3 linked regions of the Struthio camelus genome follow. The protein of the gene in region 3 purifies or fractionates together with the protein of the main gene of each other region. This does not show direct contact. Links are inferred from orthologs where the notes say so. Each region holds a gene or a part of one and is shown on either strand. Other genes may lie near its edges.

What was found.
Region 1: the proteins of FTSJ3 (region 3) and NIFK fractionate together in Homo sapiens (co-fractionation; 3 studies listed by BioGRID, with this or other methods). This does not show direct contact. The link is inferred for Struthio camelus from reciprocal best matches to the Homo sapiens genes FTSJ3 and NIFK.
Region 2: the proteins of FTSJ3 (region 3) and RRS1 purify together in Homo sapiens (affinity purification with mass spectrometry; 3 studies listed by BioGRID and IntAct, counting the BioPlex papers as one, with this or other methods). This does not show direct contact. The link is inferred for Struthio camelus from reciprocal best matches to the Homo sapiens genes FTSJ3 and RRS1.

Annotation. Positions count from the first base shown.
Region 1 is NC_090947.1:33,017,793-33,025,631, forward strand, and holds the start of NIFK (MKI67 FHA domain-interacting nucleolar phosphoprotein), read right to left. Parts: upstream 3,034-7,839; 5' UTR 2,934-3,033; coding exon 2,784-2,933; intron 2,687-2,783; coding exon 2,561-2,686; intron 1,510-2,560; coding exon 1,401-1,509; intron 674-1,400; coding exon 462-673; intron 1-461. Other genes in the region: TSN (translin), read left to right, coding at 3,467-3,532, 3,670-3,763.
Region 2 is NC_090943.1:132,526,594-132,533,215, forward strand, and holds RRS1 (ribosome biogenesis regulatory protein homolog), read right to left. Parts: upstream 1,872-6,622; 5' UTR 1,789-1,871; coding exon 709-1,788; 3' UTR 542-708; downstream 1-541. UniProt on the Homo sapiens protein: Involved in ribosomal large subunit assembly. May regulate the localization of the 5S RNP/5S ribonucleoprotein particle to the nucleolus.
Region 3 is NC_090966.1:2,767,954-2,775,297, reverse strand, and holds the start of FTSJ3 (pre-rRNA 2'-O-ribose RNA methyltransferase FTSJ3), read left to right. Parts: upstream 1-4,320; 5' UTR 4,321-4,401; intron 4,402-4,581; exon of another isoform or gene 4,582-4,728; intron 4,729-4,960; 5' UTR 4,961-5,020; coding exon 5,021-5,087; intron 5,088-5,173; coding exon 5,174-5,279; intron 5,280-5,994; coding exon 5,995-6,041; intron 6,042-6,256; coding exon 6,257-6,336; intron 6,337-6,581; coding exon 6,582-6,681; intron 6,682-6,853; coding exon 6,854-7,048; intron 7,049-7,143; coding exon 7,144-7,259; intron 7,260-7,344. Other genes in the region: PSMC5 (26S proteasome regulatory subunit 8), read right to left, coding at 117-227, 393-491, 614-804, 996-1,122, 1,776-2,006, 2,164-2,220, 2,590-2,687, 3,107-3,176 and 2 more.

The sequences.
Region 1 (7,839 bases), on a different chromosome or scaffold from region 3:
TTCTTTGCTTCACAATTATAAAATCTGTGCTACAGTAATTAATTTGAATTAATAAAAAGTGACCTATACTGCTGGAGAGGTGATCTGGTTGGAACAAAAACATCTATAGCAACATATGAAAAGCTGCCACCGGGCCTTTCAAAAATACCACAAAGAGAAAACAGTGTTGCCCAAAATATATCAACCAAGCACTCCGCAAATGAGTGATATGCTTGATTAGCATAAGCAAGGTACTTCTCTAAAAGTAAATCCACATGTGCATATAGTACAACCCAGCAACACTACACTGACGTTTCCAAGAGTTTCTGTACAGTTCTTAATCCAAAGAGGTCTCTCTACTGCTCTAGATGCAATACAACTCTTACATCAGCTACACATAAACCATGTGATTTTCTCGTATTTAGCAAGTCCTGAGAAAATAAGCTTTGCTTAAACACTCATTACAGTGATCCCACACTTACAAATCCTGGGAAGTCATAATCAAGCCCCTTTTCAGCCAGTCTCTTCCGTAAAAGTTTCTCCTTCCGTAGTAGTCGCCTTGCCATCTTTGCCTTCTCACTGATGGAACGTATCCTATTGTAACGACTGACTGCTGGCTGAGAAGGCTTCTGAAACTTTCTGTCACAGTCTTTGAAAAGGTTTTCGTGGACCCTTTCAGGAGGTATGAACTGACCTGTGTCAAAAGCATATAACGTCACATCATAGCAAAGCTACTTTTCTCACCGAACATACTCACGTGATGCTACTCAGTTCTTGCTATAACATTATCCACCACTACAGCAAAGCACTATTACAGAATTTTACCATCACAAAGACCGGAAAGTAACTAAATACTCGCTGGTAACAGTACCGATAACGGATGCATGGAAGAAAAAAAAAAAAAAAAAAAAGAAAGGCATTTTCAGTTTCACCCAGAAAACAGTCAAAAGACAAACCTGATTTTCTCAAGTTGGTAAGCATATATAGCTCACACTGCTCTACAAAGCAAGTTTTAGTATCATTGTGTTTGAGACATTTGTTCGTTTCATTAATTTTTAAACCAGAAAAGCTATTTGCATTTAGCTGCACAGAAAGCAGCTGCAACAGAGTTATAAATTAAAAAGAATTTTCATATTAAAGGAATTAGATTTGCTCTATAGAAGACATCTCCTCTCATTACGATTTTGTATGATGCTATTATACAATAACCATTATTAGTCTAGAAAAGAAAGTAGTAGCAAATAAAAGGCTCATGATGATATACTTTACATATGAAGAAAAGCAAGAAAAGCTCAGCCACACAGAAAATTCTTTTGGGCTGAAGCTTCGTAAAGAAACAAGAATCTTCAGATAGTTCAGAAAAAACACAAGTATGAGTTTCCTTTGCACATTAGACAATTCAGACTTTGGGTTATACTTACACTTTAGAAGTCTTTCTCCAAAGAGGTAGTTGTTCATTGTTTCTGCAACAATCTTTGCCACATCATCAGATTCGAACTCAATAAATCCATAGCCTTTGCTACCTCCAGTCTGCAAGCAATAGGAGGAAATCTGAAGTGACACTTAGATATCTAGCAGAAGAACTAAATTCAATTTTTTTATGCTTCAGAAGGGAAGGCCTATTTTCAGCTAAACAGCTGTAATTTCAGAAAGTTCAGTGAATTCATGAAAAGCACCAAATTTAGTCCTAGATCTGTAGGAGAGTATTTGTAAATACATATCTGTGCATGAAATAAACCACTCACCAATATCCTATTTTAATACATATAAAGAAAGGCCCTGCATTTGCTGTTTTCATTTTTATTATCAAGTTTACATAATATTATAACGTGATGATAAACCCACAGATGTGTAGATGTTAAATTTATCAAGCACAAAGCAATCGAAATGTTAAAAGAGAGTCTTTTCCATGACATTTCACATTCTGCACTTAAGAGTATTCTGGCAACACTTCCAACTTCAGCACATTCACTTGTGAAGAAAGGGGCTACATCTACCGGCACTGAAACTGCTGATTTGTGGGACCATCATCCCTCACATGCTGCCTATCAGCCTCTATTTCATTTTGGAAGTATTTTCAGGATAAGAAATTACGCGCGGGGCCCCCTGCCGCCCACTCTTGAAACTGCAACGAAGCTTTCCACGTGTTGCATACCAAAGCCGGATGAACAGCAGCAGGGCCAAAAACGCATAAGCTGCTTAAGGAGCTTCCGAAAGCAGTTAGTTTTGCTCATTATCCAAGTCAGTAGTTTCTGTAAGCAAGAAGTCTCAGAGCCCTAACAGATTTAGGGTTCACTCTACGAAAGCGAGCGGCACACGTACTGCTGTAGCTCAGGCACTTCACAAGCAGTAACAGCAGGAAAGACGAAAAGGAAAGTTAAACTCACTTTAACAGCTCTTTAGAAGAAAAGGGACGAAAAGGAGAGGGGGCAGTCACAGCAGCCAAGCCGGGAGACAACAGCGATTCGTCCTCCCGGCACAAGGAAACGGATTCCCGAAACGCGGCGAGAGGCCTGAGCCTAGCGAGGGAGGGCGAGGCGCCGGCAGCGGCCGCAGGGCCCGCGGCGCGGCACCGCTTTACCTTCTTACTCCTGGAGAGCCGGAGCCGCGTGACGGTCCCGAACTGGCCGAAGTACTCGCGGAGCTGGGGCTCGCCCAGCCCCCGCGGGACGTGCCCCACGTACACGGTCCCCGCCACCAGCCGCTCCTGCGGGCACACAGCATGACGCGTCAGCCGCGTTAGCCCCCCCGCCCGGCCCGGCCCGGCCTTCGCGCCCCCGGGCCCCGCGCCCCGGCCCACTCACCTTGGCCGCCCGGTTCTGCCGGACCCGCTGCACCTGCTGCTGGAACTCGCGCTGCAGCCGCGGCTCCAGCGCCAGCAGCGGCGCCACCGTCACCGCCTCGGCCTCGGCCGGGACCGCCGTCACCACCGCCGCCGCCTCAACCGCCGCCATGTCGCGATCGCCTCAGCGGGCACGCCGCCGGAAACGCGTCACCGGCGCTGCGCGCGCGACACCCCTCCCCGCCTTCCCCGGCCTCGCGCGCCTGCGCACTGGAGCCGCACGGGCGGGCGGCCACCGCGCGCGCCGTCTCCTAGCAACGGCGCGGCCAAGCGTACCCGCACAGCGTCGCCTGGCAACGCGGCGCGGGGCCGCCAGGGCCGCGTCGCCGGGCGGGAGGGCGGTGGCGGCGGCGGGGCCCGGGCTCGCCGCGGAGCCCTCTCGCCCTTCGCCCGCGGAGGCGGCGGCGCCCGGCCCTGCCCGGCCCGGCCCGGCCCGGCTCTGCCCCCTCGCGTGCGGCCCTCCGCTGACGCCAAGAGGCCGATCCCCGCCCCGCGGTGACGCCAGCCCCGCACTGCCCCGAGCCGCCGTCAGGCGCTGAGTGGGGCAGCCCCGCGCCAGCAGCGCGGGAGGCCCCGGCGCGGCGCCGGCAGCACGGGAGGCCCCTGAGGCGGGAGCCGGCGGCGGCGGCGCGGCTGGGCGGCACCATGTCGGTGAGCGACATGTTCATCGCGCTGCAAGGCGTCCTCACCGCCGACCAGGACATCCGCGAGGTGGGCGCGAGGCCGCGGCGGGGGCCCGGCCGGGCTGGGCCGGGTGGGTGAGTGGGCGGGCGGCGCTGCTTCCCCTCCCGTGCCGTCGCGTCCCGTCCCATCCCATGCCGTCCCCTCACGGCGGCCTGTGTCCGCAGGAGATCCGGAAGGTTGTGCAGACGCTGGAGCAGACGGCTCGGGAGATCCTCACGCTGCTGCAGGGCGTTCACCAGGGCGCCGGCTTCCAGGACAGTAAGTGCGGCGGAGCCGCCTTAGGCCGCGGTGCGGCAGTGCCTCCTTCCTAGGGAGAGCCAAAAATACGTCGTTCCTGGGGAGCGCTGCTCTGTAAGCCTCTTCGTTCCCGCGAGGAACCTCCGCGGGACGCAGGGGACGTGGGTTCCCTGTTAGGGTCACGCGTTTCCAGTTGCCCGTAGGCCCTGCTGAGGTGTCTTCCAGGGTGGATTCCTCAGAGGCTGCTGTGCGGGCTGCAGCGGCGCCCTTCAAGCCAGATGAGTAGAAAAGCTGCCATCCAGCCTCAGGCAACGCCGTTCCTCCCCGTTCTGATTCCCTCCCTCCTCGAGGTTTTACTGTCTTAGTGTGGAAAAGTATGTTGTTGCTACACTTGTTCATTTTCTGCGTTGGTGAATTGGCTCATAGGTTTCGCTCTAACTAGCATGCGTGTAGATTCTTATATCCTGCTAACTGTAATATAACCTGATGGGCCTTTGTATCTGTAGTCCCCTCCTCAACCCTCCTCCACCCCTCAAAAAAGCTGTGATGCTCTGGGGAGTGAGCAGGATAGTGTGGGAAGGGACATCTTTAATCTGCTATGTATTACATTTACTTGTGTATGCGTGCATGCAGGTACATGTGAATATAAAGTTGTACTTTGAGTTAATACCTGACTCCCAAAACGTAAAGGAAAATTACAAAGGCTGGTAAAGCAAGAGAAATCCTTGACATATGCTTGAGTGACAACTGGAATTGTGCTGTCGCTTTTAGGTTCAAGTTGTAGCTGTAGCTCCCTTACTTTTGAGCCAGAAATTTTTAGCATGTTCGAGGTAATGTTTCTGGGCCAACCCGTTTGCTCAAAGGGCATGAAATGTAGCTACAGACTTGAATGCTGAACGCGCTGTCCTTGTCCCCCCTATTTGTAGAGTTAGTGCTGAAGCTATTGGAATAAGCAGCTTTCTTATTTCAGTATGCGATTTAAAAGCCATTCAGTCATGTCAATGAACTTCTGGGGAGAAACAACCATTCTGATCTTTTGGAAACTCTTGAGAGGGACTCGGGGAGAGAAGAAATCTGGCAGGCTACCATCAGAAGGTGAAGAAAAGAAAGAAAACCTTCATCTGTTCCTGTTTTATTCATCTAGAGTGTTGGCTGGTTGTTTGTCAGCCTGATGACACTCACCACTACTTTTGTGCTTCAGCTGGAGGCCTGCGATTTCTGTAGTCTCCTGTTTGGTAACCACTAGGTATGTGGTTAGCAGTGTGCAGCATCTGACACTTGACCTCCACTGGCAAGTATAACTTCCTGCTGCTTAGGAAATCTACCAGTGCTAAAAATTAGAGTTGCTAATTGGCTAATTTAGTCAAACATGCTAAGTAAAGCATGTTTGACTAAAGCTGAGTAAAACCATGGATGTTGTGACAATCATTTTGCATGGTACCATCTTTAGGTTTTTTTTTTTTTCCCAGTATGTATTAGTAGAGACCTGTATCTGCCTCCGTGTATGTTGATTTATTATTTAATTTTAAGAGGGAGCTGGTCCTGAATCTTGCAGAGACCTGTGGAATAGTTTAAGTACCAAAAAGAAGACTGCTCTGCTTACAATTTTTGCAATATCAAAGATAATGAATGCAGGTCTAATAGGCTGGGTGGGAATTAACATACGATAATAGGCCTGTCAGTTTGACATCAATTTCAAGCAAAATAACAAAAGTCAGTAAAGGATTTGATTAATAAAGGTTAATAGCAGAGTAATTTAATACCAATTAACACAGAAATCTTTATGGGGAAAACTAGCACTTGTCAAATGATGTGTATTTAGACTATACTTTTACTTGATAATAGTTGTGGTGCTGTAGTGTAGTGCACTTAAATGTCTGTTTGGCTTAGTATGACATTTTGTCTGCTGACTTAGTACAATATTTTCATTAAGAAACTAGAATGGTGTAAAACCTGTATGGTTTTTTTTTTTTGGCTAGGTCAAAAAGGGATAGCTGATGATTCTTAAAACTATGAAAGAAGGGCATATTCATTACAACACAGTTCTAGCTAAATTTTGCAGCATCAAGTTTTGTACACTCTTGCATTTATTTATTCTAAGATGTAAGAAAAACTACTGATACAGTTATTAAAAGTTTACAGGTGACAGAAGAGTAAATAATGATGCTTGGTTAGTGCAGCTGTATTTCTATAAACAGTTTAAACTGGTGCTGCTGCCAAAAGAAATTGTACACCTTATTGTGCCTCCTTCCTTGTGCCAGCATGAGTGGGATATTACTGTCTTTCTGTGGTAGCTTACTATTCTGTCTTTTGTGATTAAATCCTGCGTCAATAATTGAGGTAGAACAATGAAAAAATAAGGGAGGTAACAGAGAGCCAGTGAAAAAAGTTAAAGGATTTAGAACAGGCTCCGTCCTACCAAAGAGCAGGGTTAAGGGATGGCTTGAGCTCTCTTAATAGAACCACAAGATGGTTGGAATGGGTTAATAGAGGGTGTTTTGCTGTATCAAAGGGTAATATTTATAAGATCATATTGCATAATGGCTTTCCTTTGTTCTCTAGGCACTTAAAATATCTCTTGGCTAACCCTGTTTCCATTGAGTTTTCCCCCTGACTTCTTGTACTGCAGGGCAACCACCTACACCCAGACAACAGCTACTTCATGGCGACTGCCTCTCTGCATGTGCTCAGTAATAGACTTTACCCTTAGCTCGTGAAATACACTGTGTTATGCTTAGCAACGCATCAGTGATGATATGTAAGGATGCACAAGGATAGCTTGGTGTTGGGAATTTTGTTTGTGTCTGTGCGTCATCAGGCACCATTGTCTGCAACTTTACAGTAAAGGCTGCTTTTCTGTCACAGATTCGTTTGACAGAAGCCAAAGTGCAAATGTGCTCTTCGTTCTGTCCCCAGTTGCCCTGTGACAGCTCGAGGGACCATGTTCAGAGAGTAATTCTCAGTGAGCTTTCACTCTAGCTGCCATATGAAGCACTTTCACCTTCTGCTTCCTGAAACTTTCATTTTTAACCTCCTTTTTTCTGATTGAGGGTGATGTTTGATTAGTTAAAACAAGTTTTTAAACAGATACTTAAAAAGTAAACTGCTGGTAGGAGTCATTTGATAAGTCATCCATGGCGACTTTCAGATTATTTAGTTGATGTGGATCCTATTTAAATAACCACAGCTTCTATACTTCAAGATGCTGAAGATGCTATTATGTTCACCACCTGCCTTTCTTGGGTTTTGACCAGGATTTCTGAGAAGGCTGCAGTTAAAAAGTACTGATTTGATGAGTTCTGGCAAGCTGTGGTTCTGCAGGTACAGCGTGGCTGTAATTCTTATTAGCGAACAGGAGGTGGCAGTGGGTGGTACATAAACAAGCGAGACCGTTTCTCTGCAGGAGTTTAATCCAGTGAACAGGCGAAAACTTGGTTCTTTCGAACAGATTGCTTGAAAGGGAGACTAAGACGTAGCTTCCTGGAGGGATGTTGCACCTCACATAACCTAACTCTGCCTGTTCAGAAAAAATATTATGAGACTTTAAAACAGAGAAAGAAAAGTTACTTTTCCTTTGACTGCCTAAGCTGTTTGGTGCTGCTTTGCGTGTTTGCGCTTTTTGGGGAGTGATTGCTGTGCACAGTGCAGTCCTATTGCTTGTGATTTGGCCATTGCTTTTGTCTCTTCTGAACTGCTGCGTCAGAGCTATTAGAGACAGAATCGTCCTGTTTCTCTCTTTGTAACACCTAAAACCCAACTAGTCCTCCCTTTCTCTTTACTCCATCCACTCAACTAAGACTCTAAACATACTTTCTTATCAGCTTGTGCCCTGATCTTTGTTGCCTCCTTCCTTCTACCAATGCCATACGTAATAGCCTTTTACCGCTCCAGAATGCTGCTGCGTGAATGGCTTTGTAGCATCTTGCTTTAATCATGTTACTTCTCTCGTTGAGTCCTTCCCTGGCACCCTGTTATCTGTTGCCATAGTTCTCGACTGTTTTATGTTTACAGGCCCTTGAACATTTACCGGGAAAGGCGTTTGCTCTGTATAGCGAGTCAAGGTCTACTAACACTCTACTTGCTTCTTGTAGTTACTT
Region 2 (6,622 bases), on a different chromosome or scaffold from region 3:
GCTTTTTTTTTTTTTTTTTTTTTTAAATCAGCAGAGGTTTATAAAATCTTTGTAACCTCTCAGGCCCTGCAATAAGTCTTACAGGAATAGCTTTCATGCCCCTCCTCTCACAACCGAGCCTGAATACCACTGAGTTGACAATGACTTGCAAAGCAGGAGCTCCACAGTCAGGCTACCTACCCGCAGCACAAAGCAAAAGGCAGTACCTCATCCTTTAACTGCGCAAAGCAAAAGGCAGTACCTCATCCTTTAACTGCGTTTCTCTTTGATCACACCAGCACTTAACATACCAGTTACCGCCCTTGAGTTGAGTTCCATGCCCCAATCTTAGGTGTTTCTCACTTAAGAGCAACTTGACTGCACAGGGACTGAGGTCTGTCTCAAAATGCTGCAGCCAGGGCCAGCTGTGGAGCTATCTGGCTGCCCCCATTAAAGCCCCTAACCTGGGGGTAACTGGGGAACTTGACTCTGGTGATATACCACCAACTCCTCTTAGAAGAGGGACGCTGCCCTCCTTGACTGCTATCCAAGAGCCAAATGCTGATTTTAGAAAGACCAGAGCATATTTATTGACAAATAGGTGTGAGAGCCGAGCACTGGGCAGGAGGCTGTCAGCAGCAGTCCCTTCCTGCCCCTTGGTGAGCAGCCCCGGCCCTGAGTCGTGCTCAGCCCTGCAGGCCACTCTGTCCCTCTGGGTGCCAGTCCACCTCATGCTTTCTTCCTCTTGCCACCACCACTGCCCACAGGGCGCTGCTGCCGCTTGCCGCCACTCTTCTTGCTGCCGCTCTTCTTGCCACCGTGGCCGGGCCGCTGCTGCTGCCGGCGACCGCGCTTCCCCCGCTGCGCCCGCTTCTTGCCCTTGGCGGCAGCCGCCTCGGCATCCTCCTCGCGGAGCTGCTTGTTGACGGCACGAGTGATGTCGAGGGGCGGCTTCTTGCTGCTCATGCCACGCAGCAGCTCCAGCTGCTGGCTCCGCTCGGCCGCCAGGTCACCCAGCAGCGGCGCGAAACGGCGCTTCTTGGCGCCACGGGGAGGCGGCTCCGCTGGCTCCTTGGGCAGCCGCGGCTGAAAGCGGCCGAGCGAGGCGGTGGAGAGGCGGGCGACGCGGGCAGCGTGGCCCAGCTCAGCGCGGCTCTGGTGGCCCGTGGGGTGGAGCGGGGCAGCGGGCACGGCGGCGCGGTGGGCGCGCGCCAGGTTGCGCAGGCGGTTGAGCTCATTGCGCGCCACGCGCTCCCGCTTCTCCCGCCGCCGCTTGGCCAACTGGTCCTCGTCCGGGTCGGCGCCCGCCGGCACCTCCGCCGCCCAGTCGCGGGCCGGGTCGCCGCCCGCCCGCCGGTAGCCCCAGCGCCGCCGCCACTCCTTGGCCTGCTCGTCCCACACCAGCGAGGTGCGCTTCCGCCGGCGGATGCCCTTCAGCCGCGCGAACTGCTCCCAGCGCGTGGGCGGCCGCGGCCGCGGCGGCGGCTTCTCGCGCGGCAGGCGGAAGGCCGGCTCCGGCAGCTGCGCCACCAGCGGCCCCGCCGCGCCGCCGGCGCGCTCGGCCGGCAGCGCCCACAGCTGCGCCACCAGCAGCTGCGTGTTGTCGCGGGCCAGGGCCCGCAGCAGCGCCTCCCGCCGCGGGCCGGCCCCGCGCAGCCCCGCCGCCGCCGGCGGGTTGCGGTCCAGCGCCAGCAGGTTGCCCAGGTCGAACTCCAGCTCCAGCTCCTTGTGCACCGCGATGCTCCGCTGCTTCTCCGCCTCCTGCTCCTCCGCCGCGGCCAGCAGCTCCTCCACGCGCACGGCCGCCATGGCGGCGGAGCGGAGCGGGCCGGGCCGCGCCGACACGTGCGGACAGCTCGCGCCGCCCGGCTCCGGAAGTGACCCAGCTCCGTTCCGGGTCAGCGCGCCGGAAGCACGTCAGAAGGGAGCGCGGAACCACAAAGGGAGGGGCGGGGCGGGGCGGGGCGGGCCGCGCGCATTGTCTTCTGGGAGCTGTAGTGCGCGCTGGCCCGGCGCTCAGCCCGCGGCGGCGCGCGGCATTCTGGGAGGGGCAGGAGGCAGCGCTGCATTCTGGGAGCCGTAGTCTCCGCGCAGGCCGTGGGGCTGCGTCGGGGCGGCCCGTTGCTCCTGTCAGAAAGTCTCCAGCTCTTCTCCCACTTATTTAATGATCAACATGACTTGTGGTCCAGCCCTCCCCGCAAAAAATCCCCAGTGAAGTTGCCAGGCGCGGGTTGCCCTTGGCTAGCTGGGGGTAGACGCTGCCTGGGCCGGTTCGGCCCAGCTGGCGAGCGGGGCTGGGGCAGGAGGGGCGTGAAGAGAGCTGGCGTGTACAGGAAGGCCAACGCCGAAAGCGCGTTCGCTGCCTGCAGCAGGGAGACGAGGCCAAAGCAGGGCACGCAGAGCACCCAGAACGCAAACTGGGCCTCGCCGCCTTCTGCTGCTGCGTAAGGGGTTGCGCGGTAGCACTCAAATATCCGGCAGGTTAAGGCTGAGACATGGGGAAATATCCTTTCTGTTTTTATTGCAGCGTAACGTTTAGGTGTCAAAGTCACTGCTAAAGCTTAGGCCAGGCAATGAGTGGCCTGATCCCAACCCCAGCGCCGAGGCTGCTTCCCTCGCGACCGCCGCCGGCCGCCCTGTGACACCAAGGGGAGAGGAGGTGCGCGGGGAGAGCCGCAGCACCCCTCAGACGGCTCGTCAGGCACGATGAGTGAGGTCGTCGGGTGATACCGCATGCACCAAAAAAGTCAGCCAGGTCAAAGATACTGCCGTGCTATTTTTAAACAAATGAGATACGGCAGAATCCTTTTACAGCAATAGAGCATGCAGTGATTTGGCTCGTATGGTCATGACGTTTTGAGCTGATCTTTGGTGCCCTAAAAACAAGCTCATGACAGGACTTCGCTGCAGCCAACAAAAAGTCACGGGAATTATTATACTGGATAGAATTTGCTACTGAGTTAAACACGTCCCCTCCCTTAACTTGTGTCTGGGGTGATGGAAATGATTCTGAGTATAATGTCACAGCTGTATTTTTAGAATGAAAATAAAATGTTGCTCCTGTAAACTGATTCCTGGAATCTGTTGCCTAGCATATCACATCTTATACTGTATAATTATAATTATGATAGAATCTTTTTTTTTTGTTTTTTTTTTCAACCCAACAGGTCTGAGTGTGATTCAAGCACTACAGAGCAGCAAATTCCCTATGCATTTAAAACCTAATTAGATGCCATAGACAGTTTTCCCGTTTACCACAAGATGGCATTGCATTGCATACTACTTTCTTCACTTTCCTGGACAGCTCATACTTTCACCTGAAATTATAGATTAAATTAAAGACAGTTTTCAGAGATGTACATATACTATTTTTGACACAAATAAGTTCAGGCATATATTTATACTTTTATACTGCATAAGCAAGGGGCACTGTTGGGGCAGTCGGTTGATACCTTGGTCGCTGTACTGTCCTATCTTATCCTTAGATAGCTAGCTCTTTGGGCTCTTTTGGTTTATATTTGTACAAAGCCCAACAGTCTTCAGGTAAATGACTCGGATTGAAGGGACATAATTGATAAAATTTATTACACTTACAAAATTGGCTTGATATTTAATGATTACTTTGTATCGACAGAATAACAGAAGGAATGCATGCCAGGAATTGGTCTTCATGTTTCACACGATAGCATGGAGCTTCTAAGTTAAAAATTAAAATGCAAACAAGCTTCTACCCTCCTCCAGGTTTACTCAGCGCAATATTGCCTGCTGTTCAAATCTGACTACAAAACCATTACTGCTGACAGGATATTATTGAGTTGAGATTTCAGAATGTGCTTGGTAAGATGGCAGTTGGAATATATGAGTGGATTTGTAAACCAAACAGAATTTGTAAATGGAATCATATTTTAGGAAATTATCTGATGGTGAGAAGCAGCTTCTGAGATGGTCGCTTTAATAATCCTAGTCATGCTTAGAATTTATAACTCTCAGTTTGTAGCTGAGAATTACAAGCAGGCACAGAGCTTCCCTGAAGTGAATAGGCATGTGTGTAAGCTTTATTAACAGGCTTTTGCAGCAGATTTTTTAAGGGTGAATTTTTAGAAATGTTTGTTCATTTTGGTCCTCTCCACTTCTAGGTTCCTAGTTTCAGAATCTCAAGTATCACATTTCTCTAAGTGCTTGTGGCTGGATTTGTGAGTGCTCAGCCATGGCGCTTGAAGGGAGTTTTCCCTGATTGGAGGCATTATAGTTCATAGATACTTGCACAGTTTCAGCCTTACCCTCTCTTTCCTTTGGTTTTCTCTCTCTCTTCACCATGAATTATAGTAATCTGTAACTTGTGTGTGTGTGCATGCGCACATGAGTGTGTGCGTATGCTTACTTCCTTAGCGTTTCCTAACTCTCGGAACTGTGAGAAACTCAGGCAGAAATTGGATGCTGTGGCAACGTGCAGGCTTTCTTGGGGGTAGAAAGCTGTAATTGCTTTTATTGCAGTTAGCACCCTCAAGGATGATGCACACTCCTGAGGATGTAGTACAGAAGTATGCATGTGGCTGCACAGCTTTCCTTACCTGAAGTTACGGGGATGTTTCAGATCAATACGTTTTTCTTAGTTCCTCAGTACATGATAGGTCTGATACAAAACCCCAGGATGAACATAGAGGGTACATTGGCATGAAGAGTGCTATTATCCTTTTTAATACAATTTGTTGTGCTTTTGCATTGCAATTCTTTCCGAATCACTATAGCTTCAATTTTAAAGAGACACGGTAGATTTAAGAACCCTGGAAATATCAATTAGAGTTAATAGTTTCAGGTTCCTCTGAAAATCCTATCCTGTTCTCATACATGAAGCCTGATTTTTAAATATGGCTACTGCTTGACATCTGGACACCTAAACAATGTTAGCTAGTCACATCTGAAAGTCTGGGATGTGATCCTTCAGATTATGAGCGCTCTCAGTTTTCAATCAAAAGCCCACCGCTCATGCTAGATTCAAGAGCTGCTTTAATACCAAAGGTTGCATAATGGTTTTTGAAAAGCACGTACTCTGCATGAAAAACCTAAGATATAATTTGTAATGTAATTTGCAGAAATACTTGTCCAAAAGATGAATAGAAAGCATGATGCAGGATATATTTAATGCACAAAATGAACTACAATGTCAAAGTGATGTAACGTTTCTTTTTTTTCTTCTTCTATTAGAAAAATTTTTTTTTTTAGTTTCTGTTAGGCTGGGCTACAACTTTAAGTCTGTATAAAATAGGAATTGTTCTAATATTCCCTATTCATGTCTCACCTTTTGTGATACCATTAGCTTAGATTTACTCTTCAAACTTTTGCCAATTACCTCTGGATGGCAGTAGATATAGTTAGAAGATGATTCAATCCATTCTTAAGCCTGCTGTGAGGATCATTATGAAGAACACTTCTATCAGGAAAACCCAAAGTGCTGGTAATTTTGGAAAATAGTAGAAAGTGCCCTTAAAATACCCACACTGTCTCCAAATCATTCCTTTTCACTGATTTTGTTCAGAACACTTTGAAGTAAAATCTACATTGTAGGATTTCTTCCAGTAAGGAAAAAGCTGTTTGCTCACTGAAGCTAAATTAAGTAAAAATTAGTACTACAGCTTGTGGACAAATTCCCCATACATTTTTATCCCAAAGTGTTACAACATACATCTATGTCCTATACAGGTGTTTTTGCAGTACAAATAATAAAGCTTAGTAGGTAAATAATTTGGCTAATGGAAAACGCTTTCCTATTCACTGTTCCTATTCGCTGTGAACAAACTATCTGCCAGGAGTAAACAAATAAAAAAGGCTTGTGCTACAGTCTTTTAATGACTACAGGCATTGACTTCAGCAGTATATAACAAATATGCCTATTAGTTATGGCTTTTGCTGTTTAAGAAAGAACTATGGCTGCAGGTATTACAGACAGCAGGTAATTCCTTCTCATGGCTTCACTGAAGCAAGCCCTTAACCTAACAACGCATTAAAGGATATACTTATTTTTGAGCATGTGGATTGTTCCATTGATGTTAATGATGTTAACTCTGCTCACATGCTTAAAAACTTTCCTGACTGAGTTGTAGATGAGCAGGGTTAGACAACATTTATTGCAGTATTAGCAGAATTCTGTATTTGAGAAAAAAACCCTGAAGATGAAACTCAGGAGGCTGTAGCTATAGTTCCAAACCCTAGAACTAAGTAACTGGAAATGCAATTACAAGCAAATACTGAGTAGGGTCTGATTTCTGGTTCAGAAGCCAAAACATAGATAGCTGGGGAGACAGCATTCAGATCTGGAAGACTACAGACCTTGTGGAAGGTGATTGGTAGACTGTAATTTATTTTGATCAGTTAACTGGCTATGACTGTGTGGTTTCACTGAACTCATTTTGGGTAAACAAAACGTAAACTAAGCTAATCTGAGGCCTTCCCAAGCGCACGATGCCTATCTGGCTGTGCACTGGGGAATCAGGCTGAAAACAGATGGTGATATGTTTTGCTATTTTATGAGCTTTACGATGACCTTTTTTTTGAGAAAGTTTTCTTGTAGCGTGGCCTTAATACTGAAAATATCAACAATGGTGTGGCTTGGTCTTGTTAGAAGTCTTTTTAGGAGAATGCAAAG
Region 3 (7,344 bases):
CTTCTTCATCAGCTCTAGACCCTGCACCCCCAGCAAGGGCCAAGAGGACACAGACTGGCTGCCAGGCCCCGACCCAGCCACCCCACTGCTGCTCATCTCTCAGACTCTGGGCTCACCTTCACCTCTGCACCTGATGCTCCTGGCATCAGCTCCGCAATCTTTCGCAAGTTGATGCCTCGTGTCAGGTTCATTTTCCGGGAGTGGATCTTGAGGATGTCCAAACGGGCCTGTAAGGACAGCAGCAGTGAGGCAAGGGTTGGAGCCCCCCCCCTCCCCCCCCAAATAAGCACAGGAGGAACTGCTCCCAGACAGAGCTGGGGACCCTGCTCTCCCCGCAGGGAGAGGGCCAGGACCACAGAGACATGGGACCTGCCATGGGACACCCCACCTACCTCTTCATTGGGAGGGGGGAACTCGATCTTCCTGTCGATGCGGCCAGGGCGCAGCAGAGCCGAGTCCAAGATGTCAATCCGATTTGTGGCCATGATCACCTGTACCAGGAGAGCAGCCACTGTCACCACTCTGGGCCCCCCACTGCTACCATGAGACCAGCACAACACTGCCCCTTTCCCCAGGCGGCTCAGGGCCCCACCAGGGACAGCAGCCCTCACACCTTGATATTTTTTGTGGCCTCAAAGCCATCAAGCTGATTGAGAAGCTCCAACATAGTACGCTGCACCTCACTGTCCCCGCCAGAGCCACCTTCCAAGCGGGAGGAGCCAATTGAGTCAATCTCATCCATGAAGATGATGGATGGGGCATGTTCCCGGGCCATCACAAAGAGCTCCCGCACCATGCGAGCACCTGTAGAGAGCAGAGAGGGTCAAGACCTGGCACTGCACAGAGCCTGGTGCACCCATGGTGTCTCTGAGCAACCCAGGACACCACACAAGAGGCACTCAGCCCCTCGAGGCCACACAGCACCACATTGGCACCCTTTCCAGGGCTCAGACTGATGTTGATGCACACAGCAGCCTCCCCCTGCATGCTTTTACCTTCGCCAATGAACTTCTGCACCAGCTCGGAGCCTGAGACACGGATGAAGGTGCAGTCAGTGTGGTGGGCCACAGCCCTGGCCAGCAGAGTCTTGCCTGTACCAGGGGGTCCATAGAGCAGCACACCCTGCAACGGTCACGCGGTTGCCTTAGCACTGCTGCCAGGCAGGGCCTCAGCAACCCTCCGTCAGTACCTGCACGGGCAGGGACACCCCAGGGCAGCCCAGGCACTGCCACAGCTTTCATTCCCACATGCTCACAGGCCCTGTTTGCCCCTGGGGAAGTGACACAGCTAGGGTGGGGGGACAAGGGAAAAATCTTTCTAGCAGCTAGTGCCACCAGGCCCTTTGCATTTGGGCAGAGCTCCCTGCCACCATGCATGCAAGCTGGGGGAAAGCTCCAGTCCAGGGGCCTCTGAAGGTGATCCTGGGACAGGAAAGCCCCCTCTCCTCTGCCCCCAAGGTAGAGCCACAGACAGGGAGAGCAAATATCCTCACCAGGGCAGCAGCACTTACTGTCCCACATCCCTTCTCTCCTTCACAAAGTGGAACGCAGCACCCGAGAAGCTACGAGACCCCAGAGCTACCTCTCCTTCCCACTAGCCCAAACAACCTCAACAAAAAGGAGCAGGTGATGCACAGCAACCCTGGGCAGCGAGGGGCAGGATCGCAGCATTGCAGTGCCACTGCAGCAGCAGCCACAGCAGCACCCCAGGGTGCTCATCCCCTTGTGGTCACCAGCAGCCCCTAATCACACCAGGCCCAGGTGGACAGCACTTGCCTTAGGCTGGGCAATCCCCAGGGCCTCAAAGAGCTCTGGGTGTTTGACTGGCAGCTCGATTACTTCCTTGATCTCCTTTATCTGCTTGTCCAAACCTCCGATCATCTCGTAAGTGGAATCCGGGACCTTTTCCACCATCATCAGGGACACAAGAGGGTCCACTTTGTTGGGCAGGATCTTGTGCAGTGTGTAGCTGTCATTGCGCAGGGCCACGCGGCAGTTTGGGGTCACCTACGCCAAGATCAGAGGGGAACTTAGCACCTGGCCCTGATACAGCCCTTCTGAGCCACCCCAGGCTGAGGAATGCAGCAGGCAGCACGAGGCCACCCCAAGGGGAGCAATCTCCTTCCCCTCCCACCCACGGCCCCCAGGACATCCCCACACTCACATCATTAATGTCAATGTTCTTGTCGACATCCACCACAAACTTCCCTTCCGGGTGCACCTGAAACATGGCAGTTGCCACCATGAGTTATTTCTCTACCTGAAACGTCCCCAGTCGTGTGTCCAGTACCCATACTGGCTTCTCAGAGGGGGAAGGAGGAGCCAGGCAGCTCAGCCACCAACACAAACCTTGCAGCTCCACCTGCCCCCAGTAACCCCTGAGCCAGGTGCTTCCCACCTGCTTGGGGAAGGTTGGGGCTCACGAGAGGTGCTACAAGGTGCTCCTCTAGATACAGCTCTCGCTTCACATTTCTTCCTTGTCACATCCCTCCCAGAACTTGTGCTATCACATCTGCCCTCCAACCCTCTCCTTGTGCAAGGATGAGGAAAGACTCTGTCCTTCTCCAACCCGCTCACCCCAGCTCTGTACCTTGACGAGCACTTTCTTCTTGTCCATGGCTCTCACCACCTCCCCCACGTAGGAGCCCTGCTCCTGCAGCAACTGCAGCTCCTCTCGCAGCAGGCGCACTGTGAAGAGGGAGGGAGACATCAGCAGCGCCGTTCTGCCCAGCTACAGGCATCAGCTCCCAGTGCAGTGAGAGGACACCCGGCCCCCAATGGAGGTGGCACACACACCCCACGCAGCCCTTCGGGGACATCTTGGGGATCAGTGCAGAGTCCTGCTCAGGAAAGGGACTCAGCTGGAACCAAGGGTACCCACCTTCCCTTAACTACAACAGCAAAGAAAAAAAAAACCCTCAAAAACAAAACATCTAGAGGATTTATGAAACTCAGAGCACATGTTCCTGCCTGGCAGGAGCTGGATCTTCCCAACAACAGCACTAGCCATGCTGGCCCATAGCTGGGTCCCAAGTCATCAGCCCAGCAACTAGGAGTGGCCACATCACTGCAGGAGATCAGGATGAGAAAAATGAAAAGAGCTGTACCTTTGGCATTCAACTCGTTTCTTTGAGCTTGCAAACGCCGCAGGTTCTGGCTCTTCTCATTGACGATGAGCTAGGTAAAAAGAAAGCTTAGCTAAGACTTCAGAATCCCATACAACATTCAAACTAACTGCACACCAAGTGCGTGCAACAGGCACTAGCTGAGCTGCAGCAGAACAGGCAGGAGCAGCTTTCATCCTGGGACAAGCACCTAGGACAGCACAGCCTTTCCAAACAGGACGTGACCAGCCAGGTTCCATTACCAAGGATTAGGCAATATCTCATACACACAAAGCAGCGATGACACTGGGTAGGACAGAAACACATCGTGGATGCCCGCATCGCCCAAAGGCTGGACTGATGGCCCTGCCTGTAGACACCGTCCTCACAAGTGCCTCCTCCTTGCACCCCAGGACAGGGCACCGGCAGCAAAAAAAGGCCTACAAAGCACTGCAGATGTTCTTAGCCTGAGGGTAGGCCTGGAGACAGAGATAGGCACCCTTGGCTGGAACCACAGAGACACCTGCCCAGAGCAGGCCGGGTGGCTGCACAGCTGGGGATGGCTCACCTGCAGCTCCTCGATCTTGGACAGGTAGTACTGTCGGAGTCCCGTGCCACCCTTCCCATCATCCATCTCCATCTGTGAGAGAACGGGACTCAGTGAGACGGGGTCCGGCCCCGCAGGCCTCCCGTTTCCCCCAGGGCCCCGCAATCCACCTCTACCTCCGGGTCAGCCCCCAGCAGCCCTCGGAGTCCGGGCTCCCCCGCGCACCTCCCCGGACCTGTCCCCAACGCCAGCCCCCAGAGTCCCCGTTCGCCCAGGGATCCGTGGATCCCTCGCTTCCCCTCATGCCCTTCGCTGCCCCAGGCCCCGGTCTGCCTCCGCGCCAAGGCTGAGACGAGTTCCGCCGAGTCACAGCGACCGCCAGGCCCCCGCCCGTTCTCAGCATGGCAAAGCAGCGTGGCCCGGGCACCCCCGGCCGCCAACAGCCCCCGACTCGGCCCGGCTCCAGCCTCACCTGCTCGGGCCCGTCCACCGCCATCTTCTCCGCCGGCATCGGGACACCGGCACCACCGCTGCCTGCACTAAAGATGGCTGCGGCGTCCCTTCCGCTGGCCCCCCCCCGCGCGAGGAGCGTGCTGGCGTCACTTCCTCCCTCCCCCAACAACACAGTAACAAACAGATTGCTCCAATCCCGAAGGATGTGAGAGCGCATGCGCACTCGAGTGCTGGCGGCGTGGAGAATGCGCGTGCGCAGAAATGGCCCCGCAAGCACGCTGCTTTTGTCGCCATCTTGGTAAGGTCAAACGTTATTCCTCTGTGTCACGAAACACTAGAGGGTGGTGAGTAGGCTGAAAACGCGCCTCCTAGAAGGTCTGTTCTCCCTCCCCCTTTCCCTGCGTGCGGCGTCCTGTCTTGCCGCTCGCAGCGGGGACTTGGTGCTGAGACAACATTCCCAAGATGGTGGCGAAGGGCGACCGGAAGCGGAAGTCACTCGCTAGTGGCAGCCCGAGGCGGTGGGGCGCGCACGCGGGAGCGCGGCGGTGTGGGGACTGGGCGGCGGAAGGGGGCACCGGAGCAGGCCGGGGGGGCACCAGGACGGGGAGGAGACCCCGAGGCCGCGGTAGGTCGGCGGGGCCGGGGAGCCGGGCGGGCAGCGGGGCCGGAGAAGGCGCTGAGGGGCTCCAGGGCCGGGGTAGGCCCTTGGGAGGGGAGGGGGGCACCGGGTTGGCGGACATCGGGCCGGGGTAGGTGTGGGCACCCCAGGGCCAGCGGGCGCCAGGGGCCGTGGGGGGACACCGGGTCGGTCCTCCTGGCCCTGCCGCCCCGAGCTCAGCCCGTTAGCCTCCCCGCAGGTCCGTGCGCAGAGGTGACCGTAGCTCCCAGCCCCACCGGGGTCCCGGCCTGACGCCACCATGGGCAAGAAGAGCAAAGTAGGCAAGAGTCGGCGGGACAAGTTCTACCACCTGGCCAAGGAGACGGGTAAGTGGAGCCTGCGCGCTGTCGGGAGGAGAGGAGCAAACCCATAACTCCCAGTAATCTGTAACCCCTCACTCTTCTTTCTGCAGGCTTTCGCTCCCGCTCCTCCTTCAAACTTCTCCAGCTCAATAGGAAGTTCCAATTCTTGCAAAAGGCCCGGGCACTGCTGGACCTATGTGCAGCCCCTGGTGGGTGGTGAGTGTCGCCAGGCCCGGAGCCATGGCCCAACATCTCCAGCTGCCCCACACCAGGCCTGGCTACCCCATGGGCCTCCCTCCTGGAGGTGCATGGGTGAGCCAGACTAGCCAGAGCCCAGAGGAACACGCTCGTTTGGCTCCGGTTTGAAAGCTGGTCTGCACAAGCTGCAGCTGGAGTTATACGTGCTCCACCTGCCCCAGATACCTTGTTGCTTTGGGGGAATTGATGAGAAACATGATTACTTCTTGTTGAAGCCGCTGAAATGCCCCCTACTGCCACGGGCTCTGAGCCATAAGCCAACAGGCATCTACTTGCAGGAGGCTCAGTGTCTGGGCTGTGTTTAAGTAGTGCAGACTGAAGTACTCTTTAGTGATCATTTTATTTGTGTGTGCTGTTAGTTGAGTAGCCCTAAGCCTTTGTGGCTCCCCCGCATGGCAAGATGGGGGCTATCCAAGTTATTCTATCTGGATAGCTAACCTATTCCTGACTCAAGGGTGCCTGTGAAAAAGGCTTTCACAAAGAAGGTAGGAGTCTGGTGATTTGGATAGCTGGGACCTTGTAGCGAACTGGCTTTTATACTTCCTGCCTAGGCAGTTCGTCTTGTTCCCTGTCGCAGATCCCAAGGCAGATCCCAAGCCTTAGGCAGCATGATTCAAGGTTGGTGGTTCTCATGGGATCCTGCCGTAGCTTTTACCCTCTCTGCTCTCTGCAGGTTACAGGTGGCTTCCAAATTCATGCCTGTTTCCAGCTTGATCATTGGTGAGTTGTGGGACCCTGCACTGAGCTGGAGCAGGGGTGGTCAAGGATGTCGTAGGGGAGACTTGGGGCAGGGACCACCTCCGCAGTCCCTGGATCTGACTTGAGGGATGGGGTGCTTTGGGGGCCCTGGTACACGGAAGGGGTGAGCTGGGAAGCCAGGCTGGAACCCAGGTTGGGGGGAAAATTTCGACGTTGACATCTCTTCCTTATACCAGGGGTGGACTTGGTCCCTATCAAACCCATTCCCAACGTGGTGACGCTGCAGGAGGACATCACCACTGAGAAGTGTCGCCAGGTAAAAACCACCCTGCTAAGTGTCATCTCTTGATCTGGGACTCAGCAGGTCTGTCTGGGCTGGAGGTCACCCTAGCTGCTTAGTCAGGGCTCATTTTGGGGGTAGGACTGGGGCAGGCAGCTGAACGGACTGTCTGGGTTGGCAGGCAGGTGGAAACGTGGGCTTTTGGGGACTGGAGATGCTACCTGCTGGCTTGTGCAGAATGACAGGGATTAGCAGGACTAACATGCACTTCTGACCCTCAGGCCCTGCGCAAGGAGCTGCAGACATGGAAGGTGGACGTGGTGCTGAATGATGGAGCACCCAACGTGGGGGCCAGCTGGGTGCACGACGCTTACTCCCAAGGTAGGGCCCTCGCGGGGCTGCTGTGTGGCCTAGGGCAGTTGCCAGGGGTTGCAAGGGCGGGTGCGTCTCATGCCCCAGCAGGGCACAGTGGATGGTGGCACATGTTGCGGAGCAAGGAGCTAGGTGATGGGGAGTTGACAACTCTGTTGACTGCTGCTTTCTCCCTCTTCAGCCAACCTGACTCTTATGGCCCTGAAACTCGCCTGCGAATTTCTCTGCAAAGGCGGCTGGTTCATCACCAAGGTTTTTCGCTCCCGGGACTACCAGCCTCTCCTCTGGATCTTCCAGCAGTTCTTCCGCAAGGTCCAAGCCACCAAGCCCCAAGCCTCCCGCAATGAGTCCGCTGAGATCTTCGTGGTGTGCCAGGGTGAGCAGCTGAGGATACTTGCAGCTGTTGGCAGCTTGGTGCACTGGGATAGGGCAGGGAGAAACCTGCTGAACTCTCCAATTCCCACATCACAGGTTATCAGGCTCCAGATAAAATTGACAGCAAGTTCTTTGACCCGAAATATGCCTTCAAGGAGGTGGAGGTTCAGACCAAGTCCGTGAGTGAGCTGCTGAGCAAGAAGAAACCAAAGGTATGAGGATGGTGCGTTCCTGGGGTAGACTAAGTGTCCCTCAGCAAAGAACGGACTCAAGGGAACAGCCATAGCCTGAGGGAGG